3 linked regions of the Tribolium castaneum genome follow. The protein of the gene in region 2 purifies or fractionates together with the protein of the main gene of each other region. This does not show direct contact. Links are inferred from orthologs where the notes say so. Each region holds a gene or a part of one and is shown on either strand. Other genes may lie near its edges. The genes, in order: Ciao1, PolE1 and Mms19.

Region 1 (3,481 bases), on a different chromosome or scaffold from region 2:
CGCCCCGCCCCTTGTCTCGGATTTTCCAATGGTTTGATTGGCGCAATGTTTTTAAAAGCGAACGCTGAGGCTAGCCAATCATTAACGCCCCCTTCGACACAATCCCAGCTCGTATGGGGCGAGTAAACCGCAATTTCATGTCTAATACATTGGATTACGATTCGTTCTTTCCAAGTCCTGTGACAAAACGATTAGTTTTGATTGGCTGTGTAATTTGGGGCGTACTTGTCAGAGACTGTTTTAAGGCCTTGAAAGATATTAGGGTGATAGGAGATAATGAGCCCCGCTTGGAAGTTTTTAGCTTCATTGACCACATCCTCAGTGAGGTCGTTTGTTAATAGAATTGTTTTGACCTGTTTGTCGGTCATTGGGTCCACCAGGAGCCCCACATTGTCCCAGCTCTCGGCAAGGGTCAAGGGGGCGTAGGATTGTAAAGTTTTGACGATTTCTTTGACCGACATTTGGGGGCCCGTGCTGTAGTAATTTTTAATCCGACTTAGGGCCGCCAACCGTCTTATTAACATCTGTGGAACGAAAAAGTAATCTCAATGGATGGGCGACAGTAGGCTGTGACGTTCAATTGTAAACAATTGACATAAACAGCCGCCTATCCATCAAAGAAAAACAAAGGAACGTCAAACAATTTTATTCAGGGATAAATTTCCACAATTTAATTTCCCCGTCGTCGCTGCACGACACTAAAATATCACTAAGAAGGGGGTTCCAGGCGACGCAGTTGACATCCTGGGCGTGCGCCCTCTCAATGCAGGTGACTTGGCTAAACGTGGGGGCCTCTAAGTCGCCCCCTTCCTCCTCTTTAAAAATTCTGATAGCGTCGTCACCGCAAGCGGTGGCGATCAAGTCACTTGAGTGGTTCCAAGACACGTCATAGATGGTTCTGTTGTGGTACCCCGACATGGTACACACACATTTCCACGTTTCCTCCGTATTTTGGCCCTTTTGCCAGATTTTCAACGTGGCGTCGTCGCTACACGACACAATCCTTGTCCCCGTTTTGTCCCAACTTATGCTCCAAACCGTTGACTCGTGCCCCTGTAAGGTGGCAAAACAAACCCAGTCGTTGTCTGACTGGTCCTCTTTGAACAACTTAACCGTGTTGTCGTAGGAGGCCGAGGCGAGGATATCGTCATGTGGGTGCCACACGACCTGCAACAACCTCCATAACAACAAAAATCGCCCCCTTGCTACCTACTTTCTTCACATCCTGTGTGTGCGCACTCAACACGGCCGCGCAATCATACTCATCCTCCTCGGCAATCTCCCAAATCCAAACCGACTTGTCACGGCTACAAGTGGCCAAAAATCGCCCCGACTTCGACCAGGAAACACTCTTAACCTCATTTTCGTGCCCCTCAAGAGTGGCATTGCACTCGAACTCGCCCGATTTCTTGTCCCAAATGCACGTAGTGGTGTCAAAGGAGGCCGAGGCGAGGTAATTGCCACAGGGGGACCACGCAATTTCCCGAATTGTGCGTTTGTGGCCATCGGTTAGAATTACTTTATTCGACCACTTCGAGTCCGAGTCTTTCGACCAGATTCGGATGGTCTTGTCTTCGCCACACGAGGCGAACGTTTGCCCCTTCGGGTGCCAACTCACGTCCCAAACGCGCCCCGTGTGCTTGCATAAAGTTTGAAGGGGCTCAAGCTTTGACATTTTGGGGTTAGGGTCGCGAACAACGACAGGGTGGTTAAAAAGTGGTCTCGGGGGACGCACGACGTGCCAAAAGGGGGCAAATGTACTTAAGGGGCTTACCAATGCCACAAAACGTGAAAAAATGGGTGATTTTATTACGTTTTTGCTTCGTTGAGTTGGCCGCACTGTCATTCAATGCAGCCAACGCATGATTATTATTGCGTTTTTTTGCAATTATTTACCAATAAAATTGCGTACTTAAGTGCAAAATCAATTATGTTTCTTCTAAATTAATTGTTCGCTTAATTTTGAATTTTTTTTTCGTGGTTGAATGTGCGATTTTTGTTTTTTTTTGCCGTCGGTGTGGCCAGCCTCATTTGACGTTTACATTTTTTGTGCCGTGAATCACAATCAACTTTGTTTATCAAAACAATCGGTTTTGTGGGTGTTTTGGGGCCTCTTGGCACTGTTGGGTTGATCGGACTCGCCCCCGCCCCCACAACCCATCATTACGATGAACCATGTTACAGTTTTGGAGGAAATCAAAAGGTGCGTAATTTCGTAATTGATGTTTGGGTTTTCCTAATTAGTGTTTCCAAAGCCGGCAATGACACGAAATGCGCAGCCCCAGCGGTGACGCCGCGGCCCCGGCCCCCGAAGCCGCCCCCTCTGGACCTCGATATCGGTGAGTACGAAATTGTAGAAATTGGGGTTATTGTGTCTTAAAGATGAGTTTGAGGCAACGAGGTCACGGCTATGTCGGACCTTGGACGAGGTTTTGGGCGATAAGGGGGCTCTGGGCTACTTTACCCAGTTTATGGAGGCGCGAAACGCCGCCAAATTTATCAATTGTTGGGGGGACATTGAGTCGTTTAAGTGTGAGATAAGTACGGATTGCGACTCCAGTGACACCCAAAATTCGAGTGATTCGTGTGAATCTAGTCTAGTTGAGGGCGCTGTTGCGATTTTTAAAAAGTACATAGCTCAGGAGTCCGCTCACAATGTTAAATGCCCCGAGTCAGTTCGTAACGAACTCGTTGAAAACATTTGTGACTTGGAGAAAATCGCCAGTTGTTTGGACCCCGTTCAGAGTTTCGTTACCGAAGTCATGGAGAAGGAGTATTTTGAGGCGTTTTTAGCCAGCGATTATTTCTGCAAATACCAGATCGATGTTTTGACGAGTGGCCAAGTGGCCCTTGACGATATTCTCTACAACGAAACGGCGCTTTTCTACTTTATGGAGTTTCTCGAACAGGAGAATTCGTGCAATTTGTTGGAGTTCTGGATCGCTGCCACCAACTTGCAGCAACATTTGACCAATCAAAAGGAGTTTTTTGACCCAATTGAGGCCCAAAATGACGCTGTTGTGCTCTACGATAAGTATTTTTCGCTGCAAGCCCATTGTCCGTTGGGTTTCGGCGATAAAGTTCGCTTCGAAATCGAACAAAATATTTGCGGGGAGAACGGACTTGTCTTGGATTGTTTCAAGTTGCCCTTGAAAATCGTCGAACAAGTGTTGGAGAAAAACTATCTCAAACCGTTTTTGGAGTCACAGTTATTTTGCAAATATCTGTCCGAGTTGATAAACACCGTTCAGTCTAACGATTATTTTAATCTCGAGAATAATCGGACGCTTTCGTCCGATTGCAGCAGCGAGAAGAGTTTCAGTACAAATAGCGCATTTCTAGCGTTAGAGTTAAACTTTAATAATAATAATTGTAAAAAGAAGGATAAAAACGCAGATATGAGTATCGACACGAGGCAGTTGTGCGACCCCGATTCGCTCTGGAAGAGGAGACGAACGCACAGATTATCCTGTGGGAGGAT
Region 2 (3,653 bases):
GAACTATGCCGAAAACAGTAAAGAAATTTTAGTAATGCCACATTTAACTGACATTTAATGAATTGTTCAACAATTTTGCGTGTATAGTGTTAATTACTTACAATAGAAAGAATTACTTTAAAAGTACGTGGTGGTAAATCCTAACGTTGACTTTGGTTCTGTAGTTTTTCGTGGTATAAAGTGTTTATTGTTGGAACTTGAAAGTGGATAAAATAATTTAAATTTTGATTACAAAGTGTTATCAAACAGTTGTCTAATTAAAGATTATAAGTAATGGATCACAGCGAACACAAAGTTTGGCTCAAGAAACCAATAAATTAGTGAAGTGTTATGAATTTTAGGTTAGAATTTTCCACTGAAAAAATCATGAAATGCTGCGGTAAATCTACAAAACTACAATAAAGATTAACAACTGCTGATATATTTAAACGTAAATTATGCCAAAAGGTAGGCTTTTCAATGTCTTTGTAATAATTTTTCAATAAAGAAAGTGAACCAAACAGTCATTCGTTATTCGTGTTTTCCTCGTCATCTCTCATTTATCAACATAAGTTTCTTGCATCAAAGATGCAATAATCATTCCGCATAGGCAATGTAATAATTGTGAAGCCCCAAAATTCGTACAACGCTCAAAATATCCGAATAAACATTTTCCCGCCATTTATGGTTACTGTTTTCGACCTAGCTCAGTGGCGCCCCCAACGGTAATTTTACTTCCGAAATACACGTACCGTTACCAACTGACACAAAATTCCCTAGACGGGAACAGTATTTTTTTAATTAAAATAAAAAAATCGGACTGACGAAACAGCAACAAAAACCTCTTACTTGACCTTTTTCCTCTTCGTTGCCCTCCTCTCTGAGGTCCTCCGGCAACTTCCCCTGAACCCCCGCATAATTGGCCGGATCCAGCCACACCAAAGTCTCCCAACACTGCCTAAACGAAATGTCCAACGAATGAAACAGCTCCTTATTCCTAATCGACGTGACCACAAACTCAACATTCTCCATCGCGTCCTCCACACTCTTCTTCTTCGAACAGATGACAATCTTGTTAAAATTCGCGTAAATAATCGTACACCCCAGCCGCTTAAACTCGGCCACGAGCTGCAAGAACAACTTCTTCATCAAATTCTGCAACGTCCGCAACAAAGCCGGATCGTAAAGCAGGGCTTTAGGCGCCCGCAACCACCGATAGAAATGAACGACTTGAAAATCGGCGAAAATGTTCTGATAGAGCGAAATATCCCGCATCCAAATACTGGCCATCGTGCGCAAAATCTTAAACGCTTCGGCACACCGCGCCGTTTCGTCGTAAACCGTCGGGTTATCTCCGACTAAATCGTCCAATGAGGTGGCCCCAACTCCATCAAACGCCGTAGCGCTGCTAGTGCCCTCGATGTCAGTCACGTGGTGCGACTGCAGGAGCGTATTAATCGCCAAGCAATCAACGTCCAACTCGATGCAAACGCTCGAGTACCACCCTGGTACATTGCACACCTCGCTCGAACCCTCCTGGTTCTCGGCCAACAATCGCGAGTCGTTTTCTTCAACGCCGCCCAAGTCGGGCTTGTCGGTTGGCGAACACCACAACACGTGGTTGTGTTTGGTTAAGTGTCGGGCGTAGAAGAGATCAGAACCGAAGAGGGCCGGGTCCGGGGGCATGTTACCGACCGGGAGGTGGAAGTACCGACTTTGCTCGATCATCAAGTCGAGCACTTTTTCGCTGTTGAGATAGTGGCGGACGAGGGCACGGCCGCCAATTTTCTGCCAGTCCATCACGTTGTACAGCTCCTCCTCGTCGGTGATGTGGATTTGCACTTGGGGGAAGTCCGAAAATAGGGGGATGCGCGAACGCAGTGTTGCCGGTTCAAGGGCCGATTGGACGGCAAGGAGGGTTGGACCTTTCTTTTCGTCCTTGTAGAACTGCAGGGCTTTTTGCAGGGTTTTGTAGACCTGGCCAAGGTCGCTCTCGACGCGGATTTCGAACGTGACGCTGGCGGGCGGGAGCGAGTCGTCCTCGGTGCCCTTTTCCTTCCTATGAATCATTATTTAATATCAAAGTGCGGTCAGTGGCATGTGAAGTTTATTTTATTTAATAAAATTTTTTATGTATTTAATTTTGTTTATTTTTTATTTAATAAAAATACACTATCGGACAAAAGTAAGGCAACATGTTGAAAAATATACAAATATTGGTATTTTAAATTTTAAGAGTTGGTATTTACCTTCAATTTAATTTTATAATAAACGTTTAAAGATATTCTTATTCGTGTTGAAAATGGATAGCCTATGGGTAATTATTATGACATACTACTAGCTTGAAATATAAAAAAGCCCGATATTAATGCGACAAAAGTAAGGCAACATTGTCAGAAAATATTTTCAACTCAAATTTTATTTGATTCAACATTTACATAACACTACCCAACACTAAAGTTTAAATAAATAGAACGAAAAATTCAATAATTTATGGCATAGCCGTTATTAAGTAAAATTTTTTGGCACCGTCTGGGCATTGAAGAAATTAATTTTTGAATAACATTTTCATCCAGATTTGACCACACTTCCTTGATTTTATCTATCAAAGAACTTTCCTCCAATCTTGCTTTGTCTAATTCAAATGTTTTCTTGCAAATTGAAGTCTGGCGCGTCTATTTCTTTCTGAAATCAAAGGTTTTTTAGCACGACGTCTACTAAAAAGCTTTGCTGCAACCAGTCTTCTTTGAATTGTTCGTGTACTAACTCCTACTTCCGGTATTTCCGCTATAATTTTAGATGCAGATTTCCATGGATCGTTTTCCGAAATTCTTTTAATGCGTCTGTCCATGTTTATAGTGGTTTTTCGTGGTCGTCCCGATTTTGGATTATTGTTTAAATGTCCTCTTTCGTTGTAGCGAATAATTATTTTAGACACGCTGTATCTAGGCAGTTGAAATCTTCTTGCAATATCCGCTTGTTTTTCATTGTTTAAGAAAGCATCGATCACTCTTTCTTTCAACTCTTTACCAATTGGTGTACCCGTTGGCATGGCTCTTGTTGCGCAAGACGAACTGTTAATATTGGCCTAACAAATTTTTCATTATAACAACATTTTTTGAAAAAAATCTAAATGTTGCCTTACTTTTGTCGTCTTAAAATAATCCTTTTTTACACTACAAGTCAACAAAGCGGTTTTTTTCAACCTTAATAAATAATTACTTGACATTAATGACAGTAGCTTCCTTTGATTCTTTTAACAATACCATAGTTTGCCCGATCATAATTTATTTACATTAGATAGACATTAATTTCTATATTTTTCAAAATGTTGCCTTACTTTTGTCCGATAGTGTATTAAATAAAAATAAAAATGTGAAGATTGTTTTTTTTTGTTTTAACCCTAGAAATTTTTAGTAAATCTAGTTTAAAGTTTCAATGAGAGAACTAATCATTAATGACTATTTTGCGTTTTTATCAATCTTTATAGTTTATATTTTTATAGTTTTGAAAGAGCTGATAAGCCACTTTGTAAATCCAGTACTCACTTTGCCATTCGTTCGGCTTGGTACAACTTGTTCAAATTCGGCATCAAGTTGGTCTTGACCGTATCAACGACCACAACCAGCGCCTTCTTCAAGGGAGTCAAGAACAACCCGAAGATTTGTTGCGGT
Region 3 (4,338 bases), on a different chromosome or scaffold from region 2:
TAATCGCAAAATTACAATGAGAATCTCATGATTGGTGGTGTGGTCAAGACACGAAATAATTAATTTCGAAATCTACAAAATTAAATTAATTGGTTAAATTCAATTTGAAATTATTACTTTTCTAAATTGGACTAAAACGGCCGGTTTTGGTGCGAACTCTAGTAAATATCCAAGGCCTGATAAATACGAATTCTTGTCTGGACTGTAATTCGCACTTAATTTATTCGTAACTATCGTAAAAAACTTCTGCTGGTACAAAAATCTACAAGTTATTTAATTAAAATTATTTAAGTGCTAAATTATCAACTTACGCAACATTGCAATGACTTTTGGTACTTAAAGACTCCGAATTGGACATAATTGTGCGAAAACACGGAGCTATACTTTCATCTTTATCCAAATAATCGATTAACTAAGGCGGAAAATTAATTAATTAACGACTGAGCTAACGCAATTAATTGCCTACTTTTGTGGTCCAGAATGTGCCTAATTCGTGATTACGCATAATTAAGGCCTTGGTGAGCCATGACGTAAGAATGGGGTCGGTTTTAGTGTCAACCCGTTCCAAAAATTCCCTAATTACATCATCTACAATTAATTGTAATAATTAATTAAAACACGGAATTAAATTACCATTGGGACATTTGTTCAAAATATTTGCAACCAGTTCTATAGCTGCGTTACGTCTCAAATTATCCCTCTCCCTAATTATAAATTCAATTAATTCGCTTAAAATTTCGTAATTAATTACAACATCGCGCCTTAAACAAGTCAAGATCCCGCTTAGTAAAAAAATATCCTCAATCTTAATTCGACTTAATTCGTTTCGAATCATTTCATTTTGTTTTTCGCTCGACATTCGACCAATCACAATTTTCAAAACAAATGCAATCGTTTCGTGACACGTATCACCAGTCAAAGCCATCTCGATCAACACATGGGTGATATTTTGTGCGTTTAAAACGTCAAAAATCGCGTCACAATCGTCAAATTTGATTAAAACTTTTTGTAATGTTTTTATTGCACAATTTTTCAAAATTAAATCGATTAAATGGGCCGTGAAAAATTTTTGATTTGCCAAAGTCACACACAAGGCGTCTAGAAAACATGGAGTATAGTTTTCTGTATTACCGACCACGTGCGTAGCCACTTCGTTCGGGTAATCCCGTGCTAAAGCTTCAAGACATTGTAAGACAGCGCCTTCTTGTGGCACTTGTAACAACTTGACGTAGTTTTGGTAAAGTAAAAGTCGGATTTTTTCGGGTAGTTTCGGCGAAATGTCACGTAAACAATCAAAAGCGATTGGTGAGTCAGATTTTACAAGTAAAACCGGTACTTCCCCGAGATTTTCTAAATCGCTGGCAAGTGCATACAAGTCGGTTAGTAGGCGCAAAAATGGTGTTTTTTCAGCCGTTGTGTTGGCTATATTATACATGTTTGTTAATATGGGGACGGTTTCACGCGCTACGAGGTTGGCAACGCTGTCCGATGCGTTGGCAACACTGATTATCAAACGTGCCGACGGTTGGAATAATTTTGAGTCGGGTAAAAAATTTCCTTTGATTGTATCGCAGATATCTTTGACCGTTTCTGTCAAATTTGGGTCACGTGTGTGCTTAATAACAGCTGTCATTGTTGTTAAACAGGCTTTTTCAATTGCTGGATTTGTCGTTTGGAACAGTTCTTTTTGTATGAGTGGCCATACTGTGGTTGGTGAAATATCAAAAGTAACAAATGATAGTTCCTACAAGTTTGGTGTTTAGTCTGCGGTCCGCTACAAAAAAAACCACTTACAATAAGTCGTAACGAATCCAATTTAGCAATTTCAAGCGAAGAATCGAATTTTTCTAACGCTAATTGAAGGGAGAATTCGGCAAATTGTGGAACGGCAACGAGGCAAAAGGCGAGCTTTTCAGCGAGGGTATTTCGAGTTATGCCCTGTAAAAAATTATTATTGATTGTCGTTTAATGGGGACAAAGTGGGCACGTTTTCGTCCTGTGGCGGAGCCCTAAAATCAACAGGGAAATAACACGCCAGGATTTCGAAAGCGTCCTCAGCCAGGTGCCCCAATTTGACTTTTCGTAAAAATTTCGGAAACCAATCAAAGAGAAAAATCAGGTTTTTGGGGCTGCGTTCGCCATCAACCGCCGAAATAACACCGTAGACAAAGTCGGGCCCCATTTCATCCAATTCTGGAAAAAAGACTGATATTGAATTTTAAAAGGGGGCCCAAACCTGGCCAAAATTTCTCCAAACAAGTCTCGAAAATTTGATAAATTGCTAATCTGTCGTTTTCTTGTTGTTGTTGGCACGAGACATTGTGGAAGAGTTGGACGAGAAAAGGGCCAGGGCCCCCTTTCGGGGCCCCCTCGCACCGAATTAAGGCGAGAAAACCGCGCAAAACGGCCGGTAACACCTAAAATCGCCCTCAGTTAAAAAACAGTAGCCCCTGGACTGACATACAAAATGATTGTCCTTAAGCCGGTCCGTGTAAAACTGATTTAAAAATTTTAATTGATTTTCGTCCAAAACATCGGGGGGCAAAGTCTCGACGACACGTGTCAACACCCACATGCCCAGCTCGCGCCCCTTGGGGCTCGTATCGATAAGGAGCCCCCCTAGGTCCTCGACAAGGCGTAACAAGGTCACTTGACCCGATTCAAGTGCTGAAAGTTGAGGTTATGTCACAATGTGGGGCCACTTGTACGTACCTTGGGCCAATTCGTGGCATTTTTCGGCAAATTCTTGGTCATCTATTGTAACATTTTCGAAATTTTTGGCCAAATTCGAAGCCATCATAACCAAACTTTTTGACAGATGATAATTGACCACGCATGCCCCAAATAACCTACTATAACCTTCATTTTCAAATTTCAAAAAATTACGCATTTAATTGCAGATTAAATTAATGACGCATTTAATTGCAGATTAAGTTAATGACGCTTCTGTAAACCGACCCTTAAACTTCCGTATAGCGCGGGTTTTATTTTTAATTTTTAAATAAAACACAGGACCGTACTTAGATTTTTATTGACTCAGTATTGCTCGCCCATAAGTAATACAACCAGGGCCGTCCAGCCCGTAAAAGGCCTACAGCCACTCCCCTCCCCCGTTTCGTCATTATACTGTTCCCACAGATAACCCGTTTTGAAATATTGCGTCATCACGTTTTTAATCACATTTTCCCGCAAATCTTTATAAATCGCGTTGGCTTTATCCCGATAGGGCCCCTCCGTATTGGCGTAGAAATACAAGGACCGGACTGCTAGAAAATTGATATTTATCCAAATTTGGCCCCTCCAATATGGCGGATCATGTTCGGTGTTGCGTTTCATATACAGGGGTGAATTTTTGGACAGTGATCTTAGACCAAACTTCGTCCATAACAAGTCAGGATTTCGAAGGTCATCCAAAATCTGGCCCAATTTCAACGAATCCGAATCAATCATTTGTAACAAAAACGGAAACAAACTGACGTAACCGAAAGTCGAGTCGACCAATCGGTATTCGGGATTTTTCAAGGTCACACGCACCATCTCCATGTTTTGGTTTTGTGACCTTGGTAACGGTTTCGGTCGTTTTAATTTAACAGAATCAGTGTGGTAACCATAATCGGCGTAACGCGATGCGTAATTAGACCAATGTAAATTATCCAATAGGAAATTGTCTTTCAAATAATCGGCAGTTTGTTCGTATTTATACCCATCACGGTCCAACAGTGTTGCCAACCTTGCTAAAGTATCACTAGCTATGGCGATCCAACAGTATAGATCGACGTGGTATTCGGCTTCGGTCGGATGTGACGCTCGTGGATAATCGTCAAGGCCCGAAGTTAAAGTTTTCGGATTCAGCTCACGATTGGTTGTTGCGTCACGCCCCCTCCACCGGTACATGCCAGGCCCCGCCCCTTTTTGCGTGGTATTAAACCATGCAAACCACGCCTGTAACCTTGGATACAACCGTTCCAGTGTTGCCAAACGTCCCTCGCTCAACTTATCGTAATATTTACGCAAAATGTATTGCAACGTGAGGAAGAAAGTCGGCGGATTTGCGTTAGTATTTCGTTGGACGATAAATTCTTCGGGTATTTTCGCTATAGCTTCAACACCCAGGATTTGTTCACGGGGGATCCACCCTTCAACGTTCATCAAATCGAACCAATGACTGATAATGTCAAGTTCAAGGTCAAGGTCCCACGTTGCGATCAGAAAGCCATGGAAACCTTCGTCCCATAGAAAACCACGAGGGAAAAAACTTCGAGACGGGACTGCTGTGTATAAGGGGGCGTGCCAATAGTGCACCGGTTCTTTGGTGTAGAAACTTTGCACTTTGGAAGT

The links.
Region 1: the proteins of PolE1 (region 2) and Ciao1 purify together in Homo sapiens (affinity purification with western blotting; 3 studies listed by BioGRID, with this or other methods). This does not show direct contact. The link is inferred for Tribolium castaneum from reciprocal best matches to the Homo sapiens genes POLE and CIAO1.
Region 3: the proteins of PolE1 (region 2) and Mms19 purify together in Homo sapiens (affinity purification with western blotting; 3 studies listed by BioGRID and IntAct, with this or other methods). This does not show direct contact. The link is inferred for Tribolium castaneum from reciprocal best matches to the Homo sapiens genes POLE and MMS19.

What each region holds. Positions count from the first base shown.
Region 1 is NC_087395.1:25,661,315-25,664,795, forward strand, and holds Ciao1 (probable cytosolic iron-sulfur protein assembly protein Ciao1), read right to left. Parts: upstream 1,993-3,481; 5' UTR 1,847-1,992; coding exon 1,214-1,846; intron 1,168-1,213; coding exon 646-1,167; 3' UTR 632-645; downstream 1-631. Other genes in the region: pkaap (A-kinase anchor protein 10, mitochondrial), read left to right, coding at 2,176-2,203, 2,256-2,339, 2,383-3,481. UniProt on the Homo sapiens protein: Key component of the cytosolic iron-sulfur protein assembly (CIA) complex, a multiprotein complex that mediates the incorporation of iron-sulfur cluster into extramitochondrial Fe/S proteins.
Region 2 is NC_087396.1:21,696,139-21,699,791, forward strand, and holds part of PolE1 (DNA polymerase epsilon catalytic subunit 1), read right to left. Parts: coding exon 3,528-3,653; intron 2,039-3,527; coding exon 829-2,038; intron 1-828. UniProt on the Homo sapiens protein: Catalytic component of the DNA polymerase epsilon complex. Participates in chromosomal DNA replication.
Region 3 is NC_087400.1:4,137,400-4,141,737, forward strand, and holds the start of Mms19 (MMS19 nucleotide excision repair protein homolog), read right to left. Parts: upstream 2,870-4,338; 5' UTR 2,801-2,869; coding exon 2,713-2,800; intron 2,668-2,712; coding exon 2,465-2,667; intron 2,418-2,464; coding exon 2,237-2,417; intron 2,194-2,236; coding exon 1,988-2,193; intron 1,939-1,987; coding exon 1,795-1,938; intron 1,745-1,794; coding exon 634-1,744; intron 589-633; coding exon 467-588; intron 413-466; coding exon 312-412; intron 263-311; coding exon 118-262; intron 73-117; coding exon 1-72. Other genes in the region: GCS1 (mannosyl-oligosaccharide glucosidase), read right to left, coding at 3,037-4,338. UniProt on the Homo sapiens protein: Key component of the cytosolic iron-sulfur protein assembly (CIA) complex, a multiprotein complex that mediates the incorporation of iron-sulfur cluster into apoproteins specifically involved in DNA metabolism and genomic integrity.